7 linked regions of the Kluyveromyces lactis genome follow. The protein of the gene in region 5 interacts with the protein of the main gene of each other region in a pairwise test. Links are inferred from orthologs where the notes say so. Each region holds a gene or a part of one and is shown on either strand. Other genes may lie near its edges.

Region 1 (4,048 bases), on a different chromosome or scaffold from region 5:
TCTTGGATGCAGTTTACGATAACGGTGGTAAATTAGCTACCACTGGTGCAGATGACTTCACCTCACTATTCGTGGAACCAGAAGATATTGTCAACGACTATGAGCTTAAACCAGCAGATCAAATGAAACATGAAGATGAACCTGAAGTAGAGGATGAATTGGTCAGTAAACACGGATTTTCTAAGGATATTGCCAAAAAAGCACAGATTTTCGCATTAGATGAAGAACGGTTTGCATTTGCAAGAGCCCTAAGTAGATTATCCCACATGAGTTCAACTGATTGGGTCGAAAAACAGTAAGATACTAGTGTTTTTGTATGTTACACGTCATCAAAGAAAGACAATACGACATCTTCCAAAACAAAACATAAGAGATTGATCGATATGCCATTATCAACTTTAATCAATATATATCCATTTTATAGACCTAAATCAATTTCAGCCGTATTTGAGTATCCTTTATCTTCTGCGCTTGGTGGTCCGCTTCCACTAATTTTCGCAGTTGACGCCCTAAATTCGATGCTATCTGCATGTCTGGATACTTCCTCTGTATTTACTTTCATTGTGTCCTCTAGGAACCTACGTGCTTTTAGCATGTTCTTGAACGAGTCTTTTGTACCGTGCATAGTTTCGAAATTCCTCCAGAAATCCCAAAGTTCTTCATTCTGTGCGGGCTTCAGTAATTTGCTCCCGTAGTCTAACAATGCTCTACAACGAGCAACCTCATTACGCGATTCTTCTAAGATAGCAAATGGAAGTAGAAACTTGATTGCTTTAGAATTGGGCAATGTTTCTATACATTCTTCATATAGTTTTCTGGTGTGATTGACGTCCAATTGTTTTTCACTTCTATTGATGCATTCTTCCCATAAAGTACATTTACTTTCAAGATCCGAAATATTCTTGGCTCCTTTGTGCAAAATCTCGACACTTCTCTCGTGGAAACCAAGGTTTAACTCAAAGTCGCTGTACTTTTCAAAGAACGAAACACATGCCACTCCTGAAGCTGCAAGCTTAATAGCAGATTCAAAAATATCTCTTTTTTGCTCTTTAGTGATATCAGCTTTGAGTGCCACATCCAGATATATATCCCAAATAGACTTCGATACGCTTGGAGGAAAAATCTCAACACTCCTTTCGAAAACAGCCAAAGCTTCTGCTTGATGGCCAGAAGATTCATTTAATAACGCATAATTAATAAACATGGCTGGTGTTGCTGCCTTGATGAGTATTGCTGTTTCATACGCATTTACAGCTGTACCATAGTTTCCTTTGACCTCCAATAAGTCAAGGTACATTGCCCATAAGCGTTTAGATGAGAAAATTGCTGCTTGTGCTGGCGATTCTCCTTTCTCAAATTTTTGTAGGAGTAATTCATGATTATCTGGTATTTCTAATACAACGGACAAAACTTTTATGGCATCGTCAATGCTTCTTTTTAGTCTGTATTCACACCAATATAACCAAACATTTTCAAGATCTACTAAAAATTTGAAAGGGACGTTAGTGGCTTTGTCCAGCAAGACCTCGGATTTTTCAATATCCTCTTCAAAAAGTCTGCAATATTGACACCATAATTCTCCTAATAGCCCTGGAGTAGTCTGAAGTCTATAGTCCACGGTAAGAACAGCATCTGCATAAACTTTAGCTTTATCAGAGATGGTATCAAAAAGCTTCACTCGTTCTAGCCACAATTTGATGTTGTTGGGTTCTCGCCTCAATTCTAAGTCGTTTAATCTAATAGTGTGGTTTTTTATTAATGAGGTTAGAGTGTCGGCATGTAGTCTTATATTTGCGAACAGCCGTTGCTTTTCTGAATTATCGTCTTTCATCTTTTGAATTAATTCTTGGGTCAATAGCTCCTCCATACGAATCCAAAAATCATATAATACAGAAAATTCGATAATGTCTTTAGTTTCGCTTATAACTTTCTCTAAGTACAGCTCAGCTTCCGTTATTTTTCCTTGACGTATCAGGTTAAATATCAAATATGTCTTAAGTTCACCCTTCTTGAAAGGGAATAATTCGATACATTGGTCCACTACCGCAGCAACCCCTGCTGAATTATCCACAAGAATCATTGAAGTGATGTAACTAACGTAAAGTTCAAATAAACTTGTCTGAGATGGCTTTAAATTAGGTGATAGATGTTTTTCAAATACTCGAACGATCGTGCTCCAATCATGAGTCTTAAAAATGTAGATCAATAAAGGCTCTATGTCGTCACAAATAAGTGAATATCTCTGTAGGATTGAGGAAGACCAGAGGTCTGTATCAAAATTCGTCGAATGCTCTCCGTGAACAAAATAGTAGATGGAATCCTCTAAAGAAAGTTCATACCTCTTGTTGTCTATTAACAATTCATTGATAATGAAATCGATGACAACACGCCATATTGCTTCATGGTACTCCCACGACATTGATCGTAGCGCTTTTCCAAGCAGTTCTCTAATCCTCTTCAAATCCTTAAACTGTATTACCCATTCCATATACATAATCCATGCATCCCCAACTTTGCCACATGATGTTAAGCACTGTTCGAATAGTAACGATATCTTATTGTATTCATCTTTGTGCCTGAAAATATCACAATCGTTCAATAATTCTATCCTCCATTTCAAGAACTCTTTCCATAGATGCCAGTCGTCCTTGATCTCCTTCAAACAACGTTCGTATAGCCAATCTAAATTCAACTCATCGCCTGCTGATCTTTTAGTTGCCAAATATCTCGACCATGATACAGCATTGTCTCTTTCTCTAACAACACCATACTCAAACGGAATATCTTCCTCCTTGACAAATTTATCTATTTCCATCGAAACATATGTCTCTCGCAGTACCTGGTGGAAAAACAGTGCACTAACTTTACCTTAGATGGAGCTTTAATTGTAACTCATCTCATTAAACGTTTTGACATATCACCGTAAATGAAATAATATCTAAATTTCGAAATTAACCAATTTTCAAAATATCTGAAATATAAGACATTCAATCATTTGACGAAAGAAAGGTAGAAAAGGGGGGCATATATCAGCTGGGGCAGAACGTTGCAATTAGGCTGGCACTGACAAGTATCCAACCTGGAACACATTTACTTGTAATCGTTTGCTTTTTCTTTGAAAAGAACTGTTTTTCTACTGTACCAATCAGGTGAGTTTGGTACTAAGCGTACTGATAACATATTACAGCAAGGAAGGAACGACTTCACTCCTAGCATCTTGAATTTTATCGAAAAATGTCTAGTAATAGGGAACAGGTTTTCCCCACTCGTATGACCTTGGGTCTTATGAAGACTAAGTTAAAGGGTGCTAATCAGGGTTATTCTTTGTTGAAGAGAAAGTCTGAAGCATTAACGAAGAGATTCCGTGATATCACTAAAAGAATAGATGATTCAAAGCAGAAGATGGGCAGAGTGATGCAAACAGCTGCGTTCTCTTTGGCGGAGGTCACATATGCTACAGGTGAAAATATAGGGTACCAAGTTCAAGAGAATGTTGCCAATGCAAGATTCAAAGTTAGGGCCACGCAAGAAAACGTGAGTGGTGTGTACTTGCCTCAATTTGAATCATTCATCGACTCCAACATCAACGACTTCAAAATGACAGGTCTAGGTCGTGGTGGTCAACAAGTTCAGCGTGCTAAGGAAATTTACTCAAGGGCTGTTGAAACACTAGTTGAATTGGCTTCGTTACAAACGGCTTTCATTATCTTGGACGAAGTTATCAAAGTTACCAACCGTAGAGTGAATGCCATTGAACATGTGATCATTCCAAGAACGGAAAACACCATTGCTTATATCAACTCCGAGCTAGACGAATTGGATAGAGAAGAGTTTTATAGATTGAAGAAAGTGCAAGAAAAGAAACAGATTCAAACTGCTCAGTTGGATGCTGAAATGAAGCAGAAGAAATTAGATGAAGCAAATGCTGAGTCTGAAGGTAAACCAGATTCTCAAGAAGCGACCAAAACTGGCGTAGAAGCTGCCGACACACAAGAACAAGAAGAACAATCTGGCCCACAAGTAGAAGCTCTGATTACCGAACAAGAGG
Region 2 (3,223 bases), on a different chromosome or scaffold from region 5:
CCGAAAAATCTGGTGATAGAGAAGTACAAAGAACAATGTTAGAGTTGCTAAATCAATTGGATGGATTTGGCTCTGATGATCGGGTTAAGGTGTTGGCTGCTACCAATCGTGTTGATGTTCTAGATCCGGCCTTATTAAGATCTGGTAGACTTGATAGAAAAATAGAATTCCCACTCCCTACAGAAGATGCAAGAGCTCAAATTCTACAGATTCATTCCAGAAAAATGACAACTGATGATTCTATCAATTGGCAAGAACTCGCTAGATCTACAGATGAATTCAATGGTGCTCAATTGAAAGCCGTTAGTGTCGAAGCTGGTATGATCGCATTAAGAAACGCTCAATCAACAATCAAGCACGAAGATTTCGTTGAGGCTATCGGTGAAGTACAGGCAAGAAAGTCTAAATCCGTTTCCTTTTATGCATGATTTATATGTAATCATTAAGTATATCTACATAACCTTATCGAAGGTTGTGCCGAAACCAAGAATAATGTCTCAAAGAATCTCAATTCTTCATTAGTCCAGAATGGCAATTTTTCCGGTATTACCAGCGCAACATAACTTACTTGTCTCTTGAGGATTCCATTCAATACAGGTTACTGGCAGGTTATTTGAAAATGGCTTAAATTTCTTTAACAATTTGGTAGTTTTCCAATCCCAGATGAACGTCTGACCTTTAGAGTCTCCAGATGCAATGTATTGGCCATCAGGAGAAAATGCAAAATGAATACCATAACCTGTAGTATTATGACCTTTGAATGTCTTGTTTGGGTGTCTTTTATACTTTGGTAACATTGAGTACGTATAGATGGTGTTGTCCATACTTTGTGTACAGAAAGACTGACCCTGTGGATTAATATCGATCCATGGCATAGAATGTTGTGCTGTGCCACTGATTTGTTTAATAGGAATATTGATTCGGTTCTCCCAAATTCTGACCGTTTTATCTTCTGACGACGAGATTAACTTCTTACCATCAGGGAAGTACTTTAGTGCCAAAATAGAACCCTGATGATGATCATATTTCTGTACTTCCCCATGGTTTTCTGATAGCCTCAAGTCATAGTGCCGTATTTCGGAGTTGGATAATCCTACCACTAGTTGGTTCTTGTCTTTTGGGTGGAATGTAATACAGTTCGGTACAGAGTTGAAACGCAATCTTTTATCAATTATACCTTTTTCGGTGTTCCAGATCTTAACCCATTTATCAAATGATGCACTGGCAAAAGAATGTCCATTATCTGTAAAGTTCAAATCCTTTATAGTCATAGAGTGACCTTCATACGTTCTTAATAGTTCTCTCTCATGATAAAAGTCCCATAGTTTTATTATGTTGTCGTTACCGCCTGAAAGTAAGAGATGTCCTGTTTTCGGTATGAATCGTAATGATGTAGTACCATTCTTATGCCCATAGTATTCTGCTATCTTGGTTTTCGGAAGGAAGCACCTGAATGATAGTGGTTCTTTCTTGAATTCTAATGGAATATCTACTGGGGGGTGTAAAATGCATCTTCCCAGATAGTCTTTTTCAGTACTGCCTACAAATTTCGTTCTTTCAAGTGATTGTGATGCCACTGCATCCTCATCACCACCTAAATCTAAGGAATTAGAAGCATTTGAATCCTTTGATAATTGTTCGATCTCATCGTCACTAGATCCTTGCCATTTTGCCCATGGTCCTTTCCCGTTCCTCCTAAGTCTTTTGGACTTCAATTCAGCCTTTGATGTTTTTAACGATCTCTTAGGCACAGCTACAGATGAGCCATCATCACTACTCTCACTTTCATAACCCTGTACCAGCCCCATTATTCCCTGGATATTATGGCAGTGGCAGAGTCTATCTAGTAAGTTTATCGGTTTGTCCGTGTATTACCTACAATTTTAGATAATCTTTAGAAAGATGAACCTATTTCATATAATGTGATAATGTGCACTTTTTCTTTTTGTTCACACACAGAATATGACGTACAAATCTGGATAAATAAGGAAATGACTTAAAGTTACAGACCATGCCATGATACAGTCGCATGATTAAGTGAAATGATGTATTTATGCTTTAATCAAATGCTGAATATATACATATAAGATGTGGACGTCTTTGGGTTGATATAAAGTGTCCACAAGTTTGCAAATTAGTGTTTTGTTCTTTTGTTCTTGGCCTTAAGTTTTTCAACTAAACCGCCGATCTTATTTATGTCTTTACTATGTTCAGTATTTGCAATTTCGTGGTTACGCTTTTTGCCCCTAGATTTTTTGCTTGAACGTACTGTACGTTCCTTTAAAATCTTCTCCATAGCTGGTGTCTTCTTGAACTCTGGTTGAGTAGGATCAATCGCGAAATCGTGATCTTCAAAGACCTCTTTAAATCTTGGATCATTAACGTCTGGAGTGAATTCATCATCCACAATCTTCTCCTTGTTTTGATACTTGGCCTTTTTGGATTTTTCCTTCTCAGATTTGAGAATCTCATTCATGTTGAAGTGTGCCTTGTTGTTAATTGTTGATTCACCCTCATTTTCATCTAGCATTAAGAGCTCTAACTCTCCCTTTTTCTTATCGTCATCGATGCTGTGAGAAGTATCTTTCTTCTTCTTAAGGTTCTCCTTTAATTTGGCTTCTGATTCCTTCTTAAGCTCCTTGACTCTGTCCTTTCTCTTCTTACGTCTTTCTTTTTCTTTACGTCTAATCTTATCAATGGTGCTTTCCTCTTCGTTATCATTGGTATCTTGTTGGCCAGACTCATCCAGGCCTGGAGTGAAAGTTATTTCCATATCAGCCTCATTATCGTCTTCATCTTCCTTTTGATCAAATAGTGACTTTTGCCCCACTTTTACGGAATCCATTACTAAAGCCTTGAGTTTATTTTTAACTTGATCATCATGCTCAACTTCAGATTCTTCACTATCGGAGGCTAAATAAGCTTTAAAGTCCATTTCTTCAATTTCTTTTTGAGTGAATGCTCTTTTAGATATTTCCACACGGTCTGCAGGAGTTTCATCCCATGTAAGCTTTACCTTGGAATGCTGAAGGGCATCTGTACTGAATTGTGCCGGCTTGTAATTTTTTGGAAGCGAGGTACATTCATCACGAGGATCATCATCCATTTCCATACCATCAGGCACATACCTTAAATCAAAGACATTGGCTGTAGATTCATATTCTGTGCCATCACAGTTTTGATAGATTGATTCGGCTGTCCTAATGTCGCTGCAGTAAACCAC
Region 3 (2,477 bases), on a different chromosome or scaffold from region 5:
CGCGCTAAGGTTCAAGATGCAAGATTGAACTTTGATACTTTACGTCATGAAATTAAATTGAAGCTGCAGGAAAAAGAGGTTGTAGCATCCTCTGAGGAAGCTGAAAAAAAGGTCGCAACTGAAACCCCTGAAACCCCCGAAAAGAAAACCAATGAGGAACCAGTTGATATGGCAAAGACAGAAGAAGATCCTGATTCTAAGCTTTTCGAACGATTAGAAGATCAGTTCGTGTCTGCAACCTCAGAAACTGTGGAATTCTTGGGAGAACTTACAGATAGTTCTGAGATCATTTCTTTGGTTAAGTTGTTCCATAATTTCCAATTGATCCATTACAAGCAATGTGTCAAGAGCTTAGAAGAAGATCTAGAAGTCCTTAACTCACTAGATTCTGAAGACAAATGAAGAAATCCACCTCTATATATCGTTAAAATAAAATAATTATTCATAATCAATCGTAAATATCTCATATGTAAATGCCCAATATACCTATTTTCCCATGCCTATTTGAACTCGCTATTCAATTTTGCATTAAACCGTTTATTCTTGTCATTAATAAATCCATCATCCAAATTGATCTTATTTTGTTTATCTAGTTTTTGTTTCCGTACCATATACCTTTTCTTTGATCGTTCGTTCAAATCATTCACCATTTTTTCTACTAGTTCAGGATTATCTTCTACTTGAACCTTCCCATCCTCAGTTATTCCACCTTTCAACGGATGTGATATATCCTTCGGAAGCGCATCTACTTCCTTCTTGTAGCTGTTCTTTGCTATAGTTTGGAAGTCCCCCATCACGCTTTTATTATGTCTTGAATTCTGTGTCTTAGCTTCCCATTTTTCATATTCGCGTATTGAGTAGTTTGCCAATTTTATCGGATCTTCTGGTTCGCTTTTGTTACTTCTAGCTTTATCTTCGCCATCGTCAGCCATACTGTATACTCTTCTTTCAGAGTTTTTCTTCTCTTCAGCTATTATGGCCTTCTTATTCCTTATACTTACTTCCACTTTTTGTTTCCGCAAACTCTTCAACTTTTTTTCAATTTCCATTAGATCATTCATCTTCGAATATTTATTATCAGCCTGTGTCCAGTTTACAATGTGATTTGTGGCATTCAAATAAGGGCTACACTTTCTGTCACCTGGAAGATATCTGAGTATATTCATCGCATCTCATCTTGTTTCTGTTTGCATTTCGACACTATATATTACCCGGACTGACTCCCAAAAGTAAAGTTTGAAAAATTTGAAGTACTCAGAAGAAGAGATGAGATGCGATGAGATGCGATGAGCTGTAAGTGCAAAGATACACTCAACCGCTGCTCTTGAAAGGACGAGGTGAAGTATCAAATATCCTGTGTTCAATACAGTTTGCTTTGATATTATTTATCGAAAGATATTGAGAAAATGGCATCCATCTCACAGCCTTTTAGGCTCTCTGCTCTACCTAAGATTCCATCATTGAATAATTATGCGAATCAAACAGACTACTTACAAGTTGTTGATAATCTTTCACCATCAGCCAATAAAGTGAATATTGGTATATCAGGTTCCAGTATATCACAATACTTGATTAATCCAACCCCGAAGCTGGTTTTTAACTTGCCAATCCCCTCTACGAACATTGTTACTGCATGTGACGTGGTAGAAGATGCAGCCAATACAGAAGTCTGGTGTTACGGATTGGAAGCTAGAAAGGTATCACATTTACACTTGGCTACTAAGCCGATGATTCAAGATGCCGTGTCATCTTCAAATGCTGAAATCACATCTCAGTTCAAATATAAACTAAAATCTGAAGTCGTTAGCATTAAGATCTATTCTAAAGCAGAGAAAGTTCTCGTTATCTTAAGGAATGGACTGATTCAAACATTTGATTATGAATTGAAACTTTCAAATACTATTGATATATCTTATGATGATATCAGATTTGTTCAATTCTTCCAAGATGGGCAGGGAAACGATTTCTTTTTCGTGTTATGCCAACTAAGTGATGAGAAAATCTGTTACAAACTTTTCCAAGTTAGGAGTGAGTCCGTCTCATGTATTGAACTAAATTCTATCATACTAGAAAATTACACTTTAGAGAATGCAAAGTTGTGTTTTGAGTTCGGGAAATTATATGTTTTAAAGAACTCAAATGAATTATCAATCTATCAGTTACCACATTTGCAACTACAAACTAGCATTCAGCTACCTTTCATTTCCAAGGATGCAGTTGTATCCATCAAACCAGTTTCTTCAAACCGTGTATTGTTGACTGCTGATAATACCATATATCTTGTGGATTTGTTATACAATGCTATACTATTCCAAAAGGATTTACAGAACATCAAAGCTATTCAACTACTCTCTACTGCAGTTGTTCAAGAAAACTCTGAAGACAATAGAAAAACTATAGCATTAGATGTTACAACTAAAAACGGTGCTAACCCTACGAGTTACTTGGATGTTATTAACATTGATGTTGGTACCGGT
Region 4 (3,219 bases), on a different chromosome or scaffold from region 5:
AAAAAGGTTTTTGATGCAATGGTCGACGTTTTCTGCTGAAGCATGTTCCATGTATGCTCTTTTGAAATCGAAGGCTTTAGGGAAAGTTCTTGATCTAGGGACCGAGGGGTTAGATGATCGGCCAAATACTGACCCTGATGATCAGCTTTTGCCAGTAGATTTTGATAAATTAAAACTAAGTGACATAGATGACAGATGGGATACGGAGACTGATACAAGCATTGAGAATGGTGATAAGACGTCCATTATGTCTGAAAGGTTCTCCAGAATGCTACCAGTTCAATCTCTTGATGGACAGCCTGTTGACAAAGTTTTCCGTCACCTTCTTCAGAAATATCCTTTGACTGAAGGAACTCCTATTCACGGAAGGATAACTTTGGAGTACCACGATCATATTCTGCCACTGGACATCAGAACGCATCAATCATTGCATAGAGAATTTTTGGCGGTCTTTGATATTGATTACTTAGACATATTAGAAGCTCGGCAGCAAGAAGCAGAGGAAGAGTGTGATGAAATGTCTATTTAGAATACTGATCTCGTAGTATTTCTTTCAGAGCGGCTAGTTTGTCTTTGATACCCAGAATATAGTACATAATTTCATTTTGCATGTAGGAATTTTGAAGATTATCAAGAATAAGTAGCGCGTTCTCCAATTGAAGTAGTTGAGTTTCTAACTTAAAAGAGTCCGACGGTGTCTCTTCTAGCATCAACTGCGATAACTTTTCCGATATCGGAGGAAACCGAAGTTTATTTTTCATCATCTTTTTGAATAATTCAGTGCGCTGTAGGTTATCCATTCTTTTGTAATAGGCGATTACCTTGGAAGCAAACTGTTCTTGTTCTTTCTTGGTAAGAGTTTTATTGATTTCCAGTTCTTTGAAAAGAGATTTATTTTCTTTCTTGATATTAGAGAATAGGGTTTCAGGAGTGATATTCGCTTTTGAAATAATGTGTGCCAAGTAGTGATACTTTGTTGGTTCTAGAGTAACGTCTGAATCTTCTTCATCTGAGTTTTCAGCTGAATCTTGTGCATTATTTTCATTATCATTATTTGAATTATTGAGCTGTTGAGAGCACCACGTTTGAAATAGTTCATCCCGTTTGTCATTAGAAGTAATCAAATAATAGCGTGGATCATGCATTATCCGCTTTGCTTGGATCGACCAAGTTGAGTAAGGATCTAGTTGAATTTCATTAAGTAATTGAATGAACTTAGATTCTATTTCCGTGTTATTCAACGACGGTAGCGTATCCTCTTCTTTAACATCTATAGAAGATGGATCATTCTTTTCTTCTACCTCTGATTCTTCACCAGAATCATCTGATGAGGAAGAGTAACCAGAAACTAAAATATTACTCGATTCGGATTTATCTTCCGTGTCCACGTTAGAATTTGTTACTTGTGGTCTCTCCTCAGTGATATCGTTTTGTTCTTTGTCGTTACTGTCGAGTTTTGCTTGTAAAACATCTCTGATCTCTCCATAAACGTCACGGTCATTTCGAAGATTGAACCCTCGTGCTACACCTATAAGCAATGCAAGAAGAGATGTATCAACTTTATCCAACAAAGCTTTACTCTCATCATCCGCCAGTTTGAATTGGGACACATTAGATTCATCGTTGTGAAAGAATTTGGAACCATCTTTACAAATCACTAGGTTCCAGTAGTTTCGTAGAGGTAAACAGAACACTGGCACTCTCAATTCCTTCATACCAGCTTGCTGGCTTCCGAACTCTTTTGGTTTTTCCTTTGTGGATACCTTGGACCTCGTATTGAAGTAGTAGAAATTCCCCGAAGGATCTTTAAATCGCTTCCATTCGCTCATACTTGATTCAGATAGGAACAATGGGCTCTCCGCCAATTTAGTTAAAACTTTAAAACTTTACTTTCACAGACAGGTGCAGCAATGCAAATAACATCTCTGAGACAGGTCTTCCACCTCGTACACTGGGTTGTTCTCACTAAGAAAATCCATTGAAGAGCCGTTAAACAAAGGTTCGTTCTTTTATTTTTTTTTTAATGTCGACCTTTAAAATGAAATAAAATACAATCAAAGTTAGAAGAAATCCAGTGGCAAACCTTTGAAACTAGAGATTGAACAGCAATTGGATTCAACCAGATAGTTAAACTTGTAGCTAAAGTTCATCGAAAGTAGCAGCAAGAGCATTTCTGTGAGCGTACAGGTAATTGGTCTGTGAGAATATAAAGAACAACTAAGAAGTCAGAACAGATGGGGTCCAGAAGATACGATTCGAGAACAACCATTTTCTCGCCAGAGGGAAGATTATACCAGGTTGAATACGCTTTAGAATCCATTTCACATGCTGGTACTGCGATTGGTATCATGACTGAACAAGGTATTGTATTAGCAGCTGAAAGAAAAGTGACATCGAAACTATTAGAACAAGATACTTCAAGTGAGAAATTGTACAAGTTGAACGATAATATTACGGTTGCAGTAGCTGGGTTAACTGCAGATGCTGAGATTCTAATAAATACAGCCAGAGTACAGGCTCAGAGCTATTTGAAGACGTATAATGAGGAAATACCTGTTGAAATGTTAGTAAGAAGGTTATCCGATTTGAAGCAAGGGTATACTCAGCATGGTGGTTTGAGACCATTTGGTGTTTCGTTCATTTATGCTGGTTATGATGACAGATACGGGTACCAGTTGTATACCTCGAACCCATCTGGTAACTATTCCGGTTGGAAAGCCATCTCTGTTGGTGCCAACACACAAGCTGCTCAAACTTTACTACAAATGGATTATAAAGACGATATCACTCTGGATGGGGCCATCGAACTAGCCCTAAAGACTCTATCTAAGACTACAGATTCAAGTGTGTTGACCCACGAAAGATTAGAATTCGCTACCATCAGCAAGGATGCCGAGGGGAAGATATACCAGAAGATCTATAAACCAACAGAGATCGCTACACTATTGGAAAAAACCGAAATAGTAAAGAAGGATGATGATTAACGATAACGACAAGTCATCCAACACATGTGTTCAACTACTGGACATTAACTGCCTTTATCCTCACTGCCATATATAAGTACGTATGTGTTTTAGAATGTAATCATCATTCAATCAGTCTACTGTCGAAAACGTCTTTACCTTTACAATTAATTAAAGAATTGAAGCTTTTTGTTGTTAAAATACTATTCGCGCATGCAATGTTGAGAAAAAGGATAAAACAAATTAAAGAAAACTC
Region 5 (3,211 bases):
ATGGTGTCAATGCTCTTCCGCTATATAAGTACTTGAAAGATCAACAACCGCGAATGTTTGGGTTCACGTTCGTTAGATGGAATTTTGAGAAGTTTTTGATCGATCGCTCAGGGAGAGTCCATGGACGGTATTCCACGTTGACGAAACCGAAAAGTATGAAGGAAGACATCGAACAATTACTAAAACAAAAAAGCCAACTACAATCATGACTAGCAGATGGTAAAGAAGAGTTCTTCGGGGTAATCCCTTTTTCATATTCTGTAATGCCATCTTCTTTCCCGTTTATTCACTTGCAAGAAAAACACAAACACAGTTCGATATTTAAAGAGCATGATTTTCACTTCTTTTTACGATGAAATCACGTACATATATGGGGGCGAGTTCATACATGTTCATTTTTCGACGTATTATCGGATCATATATTTAACGACTCTCACCATCAAATCAGTGATTATTCTAATAATTACAATTTTTATACCTTATTTAGGACAAGTATCATATATCTACTTCAACTCATATGTTATGCATTTATTCTCCGAGATGACGTTCAAGAAATATCCTTGATCTATTTTTACCAATGTCATGGATTCTGCTGTATTTGTTTCGATCGGAAGAGTAGATTTTTCGACAAATGACTGTCCCTTAACATACTCATACCATTGTACTTGTGAATTACCCATGCTTACGAAAAAACCTTTAGCTGTATCGTCCAACTCCACACTGATGATATTCTCAGCGAAAGAAAGTGGTTCCATTGCCAAGGTGCCTGGATCCTTTCTTAAATCGTAAACATTCAAGTCAGAATCACCAAAGACAAACATCCAATAACCGTTCAAACCAAAGTCTACTCTTTTAGCTGGGAAGCCAGTTGAAAATTTAATCGGATCTTTTGTAGCAGCCAATAGGTTTATTACATATACACCTTCGTTTTGGTTACCAATAGCAAGAAGAGCTCCATCTTTATGATAATTCACAAATTGAACGGAATCGTTCAATTTAACTTGTGAGATGGTGAACAGTGCTTTTTTGGTAACTTCATACCCATATATTGTACCTCTTTCAGTTACGAATAAGAAGTAAGAATCCGATATTTGATGAGGATAAGCCATAAATATCACTGGCCCATCAGTTCCTTCCAAAACTTCTTCATACAACAAAGACTTTGTATGAAGGTCATACGCTGCTAATAGTCCCTGGGTGAAGGTGTATAGAACGTCTTTAAACTCCACCAGATATTCTGTGGCTTGTGACACATCAAGAATAGAATCTTGAGGTCCAAACACAAAAGCTTTGTCATTATCTTTTACAACAACAGATCTTTCATTAAGATTGACATGCTGATTTCTGCTAATCAAATCAATTTCAGAGAAATCTGTCGATTGAACGACTGAAACGTTGGAGAAGTGTTGTAGCTTTTTCTTAGACTTTTTGGAATTTGTCACGTACTCTTGAGATTTCGTCGATAATTCTGAAGTAAAGTCTGATAGAATTTGGTCTGAGTTCTGGAGTTTATCAATAGTTCCATCATTTTCGACATTCGAGGAAGTTATTGCCGATGTAAGTTCTGCTAATTCTTGCTTCAGCTGATCTCGCTCTACAAAAGCTTTTGCTGCCGCTGATGCAACAGCGTCAAACCTGTAAAGTGTATCACTGAGATTCTTTTTACAAACGTCTAACTGCTTCCTTAATTCGAAATTCTCGAGCATTACTGCATCCCATTCTTTCTGCAAAGTTGACAATAGACTTGGAATGCTATAGTTGTTTGCGATAGTAGACGAGCTCAATGATTCTGAAAGTGATATCTGCTGTGGAGTCGCATTGATTTCAACCAAATCTGTTTTTTGTAATGGATCATCCGTTATGGGATCTGTTCCTTTCTGTTCAATATACTGTTCGATTAGATGCTGTTCAAATATACATTTGGAATTAGGTGAAAGAACAGCTTTTATAGGTGGTTTCCCACTAATTGCACAGAACATAATTAGCGTACCTCAATTTAGCCAGTCCTTAAGTAGTTTCACCAGAAGTAAGCCCCAAGGTTCTCCTTTTTGAAGCCATTATCTAATTATGTATATCGGTGCTTCATCTTTCATGTAACATTTATGTTGGTTTTCTAATGTTAAATAAAAATGCTTTCGTTTCTCTTTTGAACATGCAAAAAAATACTGGATGAAGAAATGACTTTATTTAACAAATCAACTCACATCTTAGTTGGCTGGTTAGAACGCTCCAACAGGTTAGAATACAATCTGCAATATTCATAGAGCTCGAGATGTATATAGTATTTTTATATATATATATGCTAATTAAAGGAAAAGAAGATATACTACATACAAGAAAGACACAAATATAATGCTGATATATCATTCTTCTATGAATTCTTCCATTTCCTGCCAAGCCCAATTTCTCCAGATGTCTCCAGCCTGCTGGTAGATGTCATCAAACGAGTGTGCAGTCTTATCGTCAGTACCGACCTCTATCATCATATGATTTGAAGAACTTGGTCTAATTCCTGAAGCGTTGGATTCATCTGTGTCTGTCGAACTTCCACTAATGTCATCATCCTCGTACATCTTCTTGAAGTTGTAGTCATCGAATTTTGATATCAGTGGGACATTATTTAAGAACTCGGTGATCTCTGTTTCCTCAAACTCTAAAAGTTTAAATTCGTTATGTTGCATAATGGCAACATATATGAAAAGTAACTCCGCATGAGGGTTCAAGAGCGAATATGGAATCTCATTTTCTTGTGTTTCTGTAGTATGACCATCGTCCCCATATTTATTTCTTCGTATCAATTCCCGAATGACATCTTCATCTTGGTTCAATCCATTTTGACCGAGCCTTAACGACATCAAATCTGGGAACCAAAACTCATCATGTTCACATTTGCAAATCTTATGGAAAATCTCTGAACTCAGTTTCAATTCAGGTGGATAAATGCTTTCAAATGATTTATGGTTGTACTCGAGATAATAGTTGATTGATTCAGGACGTGGTCTCCATCCGAGCAACACATCCCATACTCTTCCTCTATCCTGACGATGCAACACTCTGCAACCACAACATTTGATCCACCAATACAACCAAGTAGCCTTCTTGGAACCTTGCAAAGCGCCTTCATCAGTGATGGGTTGATACAGTTCGGGTAACGTCTTGGCGAAAACCTTGAAGAACAATTGCGATTGTTGATTCAGATTCCCACTCTTAA
Region 6 (2,454 bases), on a different chromosome or scaffold from region 5:
TATCTCTTTCCAGTCAGCACTGAACAATGGTCCAGCATCATCACCGATGGTAATTCCTTCTAAAAGCATGCATTCTGTGCCTGATACGGCATTTTCGCCATCCTTCCACAGCATCTGGAATGACAGCACTGTTGCTTCACCACATTCTTCCAACCATGTGAGAACTGATAGTCAGCAGAAATCGTGGGTGTTTAACCAGCCTGTCGAAATACCTAGCGAACCTGCAACAGAGAGACCAAAGGAAAGTTCAACTCGTCGAATGTCTAAACTGTTTGCCAGAGGGACACAGTTGTTTAAATTACCAAGTCATGACTCACAGGCTAGTTAAACCTTCAACCAGCCAGTTGACAATATTATTATAACTTACTAATCTTTGGTTGGTATCATCATTTTCATTCATAAGAATAGAATAAAACGTCATGCTGTGGATATGAGAGGCAATCATTAAAAGCGTATATAGTACAACTATGATAAATATCATTCCCCTTATATACTAAAGCCTAACTTCTCGTAGCTCCGATTACTACAACCCGAGTTGCTTCTTTAACTCATTCTTTCTTCTTTGCACCAACCAAAGTTCGACATCTTTTAAGGATGGAACGTCAAAATTTGGTATCACAAAAGAAGGGTCCCGATCAGAAGAATGAATAGTTGATCGAAGTGAGCCAGTACGTTTCTTCTCATATTCAAGAAGTTCATCACTGTTATTTCCTACAAAATAGTCGTCTTTCAATGTACTTTCCCATCGTTTGATTTTCCTCTGCAACTCCGCTTTCTTTTCCTTCCCACTTCTTTCCTTCTCTCTTTGTTCCTTGGATTCCCTCAATAATTTTTGAACCTCTGGTAATTCTAAAGCTCTACCGAAATACCTTTTCCCATCTATGAGGGTTCCGCCTGTGGTATTTAACTGCTTCCTCTTCTTCAAATCTGGACCCTTTAACTTATTTCTGATATGGAAATCCCATCTGCCCTTCTCCTGGAATAGTTTATTGAGTTCATCGTTTATTTCCGTGATTTGAGACTCGTTTAACGATGGATCATGAATCTGTGTCACACGTTGACCTATCTCCTTCACAAGCTCGTTTCTCCATCGAAGTGCTTCATCCAACTTCGTTACCTTATTGATCCTGGTAGGTCTTTTCAACCGCGAAAAATCCTGATAACCACCGGTTTCGGCAGCCTGTAGCTCCTGGTATCGCACGAGAACAGAGTTCGCTTTATTCACGTTACGACTCATCGTTACTTCGCCCTTTCTTTACCTCGATATCCCGTATAATCATCGATTTAACTCTCTGGTTTTCTTCTTTGGGATTGGTTCTTGTAGTTTTATTTCATGTCCTTTCATCTTTTCTTAATATCTGTCAACATAAAAAAAACATAATAACATGAAATCTATACAGATAGAAGACGACAAGATAGTTACAGATTAAACAGTGCTATAAATTCCGTGGGCAACGCGATCTGATCTACTAGAAAGCTTTCGTTGGTCACTCCAAATATTCAGGGTTTATAGCTGTGTTCATTTGCTGGTTTCTACGGCGAGAATAATCTGAATCATAACTAAAATCAAAAAAAAAGATGCACATCAATTCTGTGGTTAGGAACTATAGGTTCCTCATCGGGGCCTTAACTGCTTTGATGTTGCTTCTTTTGCTAAGGTCGTCAGCATCTCCACAAGTTGGTTCATTGGCGAACTCCAATAAAGTCGACACACCAGATGGGCTAAAAGTTCCTGGTGCTTCTTCACCAATCAGTCAAAATATCAATGAGGATTCACAAAAGCAAACAGCCAAAGACCACACATCCCAGAATTTGGAATCTGGTTCCAATTCCCTTTCCAAATCTCAGTGTACTGAGGGTCATAAGTACGTGGTTATGATTGATGCCGGTTCTACTGGCAGTCGTGTACATGTGTATGAATTTGACGTTTGTACCCAACCACCAACTTTGATTAATGAAACTTTCGAGATGTTGAAGCCTGGTCTATCTAGTTTCGATATCGATGCTGTGGGAGCCGCTAAGTCCTTGGATCCTTTATTGAAAATTGCTATGGATGCGGTTCCAAAGGATAAGAGAAATTGTACGCCTGTTGCAGTTAAGGCAACCGCAGGTTTGAGAATGTTGGGTGATGAAAAATCTTCAAAGATCTTGGCACAAGTTCGTAAACATTTGGAACAGGATTATCCATTCCCAGTGGTCGATGGAGATGGTGTTTCTATTATGGATGGTGAGGAAGAAGGTGTCTACGCTTGGGTCACTGCAAACTATCTGTTGGGTAATATTGGCGCTGGTTCTAAATTACCAACGGCAGCTGTTTTCGATCTTGGTGGTGGTTCTACTCAAATTGTGTTCGAGCCAAGTTTCCCTCCTAATGAAAAGATGGTTGATGGTGAACATAAATACGAGCTAAGTTTCGGTGGTCATGATTATACTCTATATCAATTTTCTCATTTG
Region 7 (3,749 bases), on a different chromosome or scaffold from region 5:
CAATGCCCAAGGGTTCAAATCAGTTGCCAAATAAAGTCCATTGGCGTTTGGTATACCATTTTGCATAAGAAACGTAGAGACTATCCCAGAACCAGAACCAATTTCTATAGTCAATGGTACTGCGTCATTGAACCTGTTATTCAACCAACTCAGATCAGCTTCTAATGCATCTAATAAAAGAAAAGAGTCCTCGCTTGGCTCGTATACTTTATTATAATCATAAGAGACGTATGGTGTAGCTAGCATCGCCCTGTTATCCTAAGCCCTGATGAGCTATAGCTCGCATCAATATCTGTTCTGCACCTGTATCTTTTCAAACATGGAAGTCATCGCATATATAATATTGTATTTGAAAAGTTGATATTGAACAATAACGTATGCAAAAGGTCATCTAAAAGAAAGTAATTAAATTGAAGCTTAACAACTAGTCTACTGTTTGATACAACTATTAATCACCATTTTCAGAGAATCGACAATCAGTTGCTTGTTTGTGGTTGAGAAAGATGCAATTAAAGGTCAAGACATTAACAGGGAAGGAAATCTCCGTAGATGTTCAAAGTTCAGAAACGGTCTATCATATCAAAGAGCTATTAGAAGAAAAAGAGGGTATTCCACCATCACAGCAGAAGTTGATCTTCCAGGGCAAACAAATGTATGTTAATTAACTGATAATTCAGAACTGAGAAGAGTTTGATATCAAATTAATGTAGGGACTCTTTTACTAACTAGTAAGTAATGCTATCTTTAAATCAGAGATGATAACGCAACAATCGGCAGTGCCGACTTGCAAGATGGATCTCTTTTACATCTTGTTCTAACTTTAAGAGGCGGTTGTTGAGAGCCATGTGTCATTGCATTGCGAAACCTCAAGATACGTATGTGTATAAGTATTTTGCAGATAAATACCTGGAGGAATTACTCTGCATTTAATAAAACGACTATAATTATTGGAAGCTAACACTATGAATGACATAATTTACATTTACACGACCGTCCAATTATCAAACAAAGGAAGGATGTAACACATGCTTGTTGCTTTTCCTTGTATGCATGAATGAACCTTATAAATACATAATGATTCAGATATCAAATTTAGTGCGAACATTATAATTGTAGAAACAGATGAACTTAACGACAACGATGCAAACAAAAGTAAGAAAAACACGGATAACTTACCTGACTATACTGTAACATGGGTGACAATAGTTTATCCAATGAAGCCATCACTGCCGATAATATTTTGAAGGATGCCTTTAGCCAAAAGAAGCAGATTGCAGCTACTACGAAGGCAGATATATTAGATTTGGAAGAACTGAAAGACTGGCAACGAAGGAAAAGAACAGAGTATGAGACAGTTTTGAAAAGAAATAGGTTAGACCTTCGTCAATGGATGAGGTATGCTCAATTTGAATTTGATCAGAAAGATATACGAAGAGCTAGGTCCATTTATGAACGCGCTCTTCTTGTTGATCATGGGTTTATTCCACTATGGATTCAATACATCGACAGTGAAATCAAATGGAAAAATATCAACCATGCAAGGAACTTGTTAGACAGAGCAACAAACGCTCTTCCTCGTGTTGATAAGCTCTGGTTCAAATATCTTTTATTGGAAGAATCTTTGGGAAATCAGGGTATTGTACGAGGCATTTATACAAGATGGTGTTCATTTGAACCTGGTCCCGATGCATGGGACTCCTTCATCGAGTTCGAAACAAGGTGCTTGAATTTTGAAAATGTCAGGAACATTTACTCGAAGTTTGTTCTAGTCCATCCTCAAATAGATACCTGGTTGAAATGGGTTCGTTTTGAACAAACTCATGGAGATATATCATCCGTACGAACAGTGTTCTCATTCGCGCTAGACACACTCACAAGTTTCAGCGGAACACCACTGGTAGATATTGAACGAGTTATTGGTAGCTTCGCTTCCTGGGAAGCTTCTCAGGGAGAGTATGAACGATCTAGAACGTTATACCGACTAGCAGTTGAAAGATGGCCAATTTCTGAAGCATTAAAGGAACAGCAGATTCAGTTCGAGAAGAAGTTCGGCTCTTCGAAAAATATGGAGGACATAGTAATCGCTAAAAGGAAAGCCGAGTACGAGCAATATCTAAAATCAGATCCCTATCATTATTCTACTTGGTGGGTCTATATTGACCTGGTTGAGGAAAAATATCAAGAGCAATTGACATCAGCTTTCCAGTCGTTCATTGAATTGGCAAAGCCGAAGTCCCTGGTAAAGGATTCGAGCTGGAAGAGGTACATAAGAATCTGCGTACGATACTTGGTCTATCTAGAGCTCACCATTAATGATTTGCCTACGATACGCTCGGTTTATCAAGACATCCTCGACATCATTCCACATAAGAAGTTTACATTCGGTAAACTGTGGATAATGTATGCAGAATTCGAAATTAGGCAGAACAACTTGCTGAAAGCAAGAAAAATTCTGGGTGTGAGCTTAGGAAAGTCCCCCAAGCCAAAAGTGTTTAAATATTACATCAATTTGGAGATAAGGCTAAAAGAGTTTGATAGAGTGAGAAAGCTATACGAGAAATACATCGATTTCAATCCTAGTTCAGTGCAATCATGGTTGGATTATGCAGAATTAGAAGAAAATTTAGGAGATGAAGATAGATCAAGAGGGATCTATGATATCTCCATGAGCAATAATGTTGGATTATCTGAATCGGACCAGCTGATTGTCATTCAGCGCTATATCGCTTTTGAAACTGATGCAGCAGAATATGAAAAGGCTAGAGAGTTGTACGAGAAGTATTTGATTTTGAGTAGATATGACGTGAACATATGGATAAACCAGGCGCTTTTCGAGAGCACTATTCCAACTGAGACCCAACTAATAGCCTATCAACAATCTCATCAAGACGGGAATTTTGACGACGATGGCGAAGAGGAGTTCAGTTTTGAAATTACACCTGAGAATAAGCATCACACCAGGGCTATTTTTGAGAAGGCAATTTCATATTTCAAAGAACATAATGAAGATAAGAAACGCCAGCAAGTTTTACAATCTCTCCTGGAGTATGAGAAAGTTCATGGTAATCAAGAAACTTTGGAAAAGGTCAATGCTAGACAACCAAGTTTGGTTAGGGAAAAAGTTACTATCGATAACATTGAGCAAGAGTCATATAAATTGGATTTTCCGGACGATCGTGTTGCTCAACCTCCTATTGCTCGAAATCTTCTAGCTTTGGCAAAACAATGGGAGAAAAATTCCAGCTGATATGTAACTTTATATTCATATACAGATAATACAATTGTAGATTTAGAACACGCATTTAATCAGGTTGGCATATAGGCTATTGAGAAAAAATACGAATTGTATTAATTATTCGTTTCATTATCGGTAAAACTTTGTGGCAACTGGTTTGACGGTATCGAACTGGGTGTTGATATCGTAGAAGGGGTAAGCCCAGGTGCATTCATTGTCGGTACAGATCCTGGGGGCATTAATCCTGGAGGAACGTTGCCTGGTGCTGCTGCCAATCCTGGTGCTGCCAATCCTGGTGCTGCCAATCCTGGTGCTGCCAATCCTGGTGCTGCCAATCCTGGTGCTGCCAATCCTGGTGCTGCCAATCCTGGTGCTGCCATTCCTGGTGCTGCCATTCCTGGTGCTGCCATTCCGGGAGGAGATAAACCTGGGGGTGCCATTCCTGGAGTAGCAATATTTAAGTTTCCTTCAGTGATACCTATTCCAGACGTTGAATTTTCTGCAGCCAGAGATT

Evidence for each region.
Region 1: the proteins of PRP19 (region 5) and SYF1 interact in binary tests that used the Saccharomyces cerevisiae proteins (3 or more experiments, as listed by UniProt). The link is inferred for Kluyveromyces lactis from reciprocal best matches to the Saccharomyces cerevisiae genes PRP19 and SYF1.
Region 2: the proteins of PRP19 (region 5) and CDC40 interact in binary tests that used the Saccharomyces cerevisiae proteins (3 or more experiments, as listed by UniProt). The link is inferred for Kluyveromyces lactis from reciprocal best matches to the Saccharomyces cerevisiae genes PRP19 and CDC40.
Region 3: the proteins of PRP19 (region 5) and SYF2 interact in binary tests that used the Saccharomyces cerevisiae proteins (3 or more experiments, as listed by UniProt). The link is inferred for Kluyveromyces lactis from reciprocal best matches to the Saccharomyces cerevisiae genes PRP19 and SYF2.
Region 4: the proteins of PRP19 (region 5) and URN1 interact in binary tests that used the Saccharomyces cerevisiae proteins (3 or more experiments, as listed by UniProt). The link is inferred for Kluyveromyces lactis from reciprocal best matches to the Saccharomyces cerevisiae genes PRP19 and URN1.
Region 6: the proteins of PRP19 (region 5) and ISY1 interact in binary tests that used the Saccharomyces cerevisiae proteins (3 or more experiments, as listed by UniProt). The link is inferred for Kluyveromyces lactis from reciprocal best matches to the Saccharomyces cerevisiae genes PRP19 and ISY1.
Region 7: the proteins of PRP19 (region 5) and CLF1 interact in binary tests that used the Saccharomyces cerevisiae proteins (3 or more experiments, as listed by UniProt). The link is inferred for Kluyveromyces lactis from reciprocal best matches to the Saccharomyces cerevisiae genes PRP19 and CLF1.

The regions. Positions count from the first base shown.
Region 1 is NC_006037.1:178,040-182,087, forward strand, and holds SYF1 (mRNA splicing protein SYF1), read right to left. Parts: upstream 2,816-4,048; coding exon 419-2,815; downstream 1-418. Other genes in the region: AFG1 (Afg1p), read left to right, coding at 1-299; VMA8 (H(+)-transporting V1 sector ATPase subunit D), read left to right, coding at 3,235-4,048. UniProt on the Saccharomyces cerevisiae protein: Involved in pre-mRNA splicing and cell cycle control.
Region 2 is NC_006041.1:1,891,109-1,894,331, reverse strand, and holds CDC40 (Cdc40p), read right to left. Parts: upstream 1,809-3,223; coding exon 519-1,808; downstream 1-518. Other genes in the region: proteasome regulatory particle base subunit RPT5, read left to right, coding at 1-428; pre-rRNA-processing protein ESF1, read right to left, coding at 2,135-3,223. UniProt on the Saccharomyces cerevisiae protein: May function in the second step of pre-mRNA splicing. Regulatory protein involved in replication and mitotic spindle formation and/or maintenance. Required for initiation and completion of S-phase and for initiation and completion of DNA replication.
Region 3 is NC_006041.1:412,777-415,253, forward strand, and holds SYF2 (Syf2p), read right to left. Parts: upstream 1,167-2,477; coding exon 501-1,166; downstream 1-500. Other genes in the region: KLLA0_E04621g (uncharacterized protein), read left to right, coding at 1-402; UTP8 (Utp8p), read left to right, coding at 1,407-2,477.
Region 4 is NC_006041.1:356,305-359,523, reverse strand, and holds URN1 (Urn1p), read right to left. Parts: upstream 1,830-3,219; coding exon 522-1,829; downstream 1-521. Other genes in the region: CCR4-NOT core subunit CAF130, read left to right, coding at 1-529; PRE9 (proteasome core particle subunit alpha 3), read left to right, coding at 2,235-2,984. UniProt on the Saccharomyces cerevisiae protein: Component of the spliceosome involved in mRNA processing.
Region 5 is NC_006040.1:327,126-330,336, reverse strand, and holds PRP19 (E3 ubiquitin-protein ligase PRP19), read right to left. Parts: upstream 1,980-3,211; coding exon 504-1,979; downstream 1-503. Other genes in the region: KLLA0_D03905g (glutathione peroxidase), read left to right, coding at 1-209; OCA5 (Oca5p), read right to left, coding at 2,364-3,211. UniProt on the Saccharomyces cerevisiae protein: Probable ubiquitin-protein ligase involved in pre-mRNA splicing.
Region 6 is NC_006042.1:1,550,000-1,552,453, forward strand, and holds ISY1 (Isy1p), read right to left. Parts: upstream 1,238-2,454; coding exon 524-1,237; downstream 1-523. Other genes in the region: GTA1 (Gta1p), read left to right, coding at 1-328; GDA1 (guanosine diphosphatase), read left to right, coding at 1,579-2,454. UniProt on the Saccharomyces cerevisiae protein: Involved in pre-mRNA splicing and cell cycle control.
Region 7 is NC_006042.1:1,644,400-1,648,148, forward strand, and holds CLF1 (Clf1p), read left to right. Parts: upstream 1-1,192; coding exon 1,193-3,247; downstream 3,248-3,749. Other genes in the region: MTQ2 (S-adenosylmethionine-dependent methyltransferase), read right to left, coding at 1-246; NEDD8 family protein RUB1, read left to right, coding at 504-652, 754-838; mRNA splicing protein MSL5, read right to left, coding at 3,349-3,749. UniProt on the Saccharomyces cerevisiae protein: Involved in pre-mRNA splicing and cell cycle progression. Required for the spliceosome assembly by promoting the functional integration of the U4/U6.U5 tri-snRNP particle into the U1-, U2-dependent pre-spliceosome.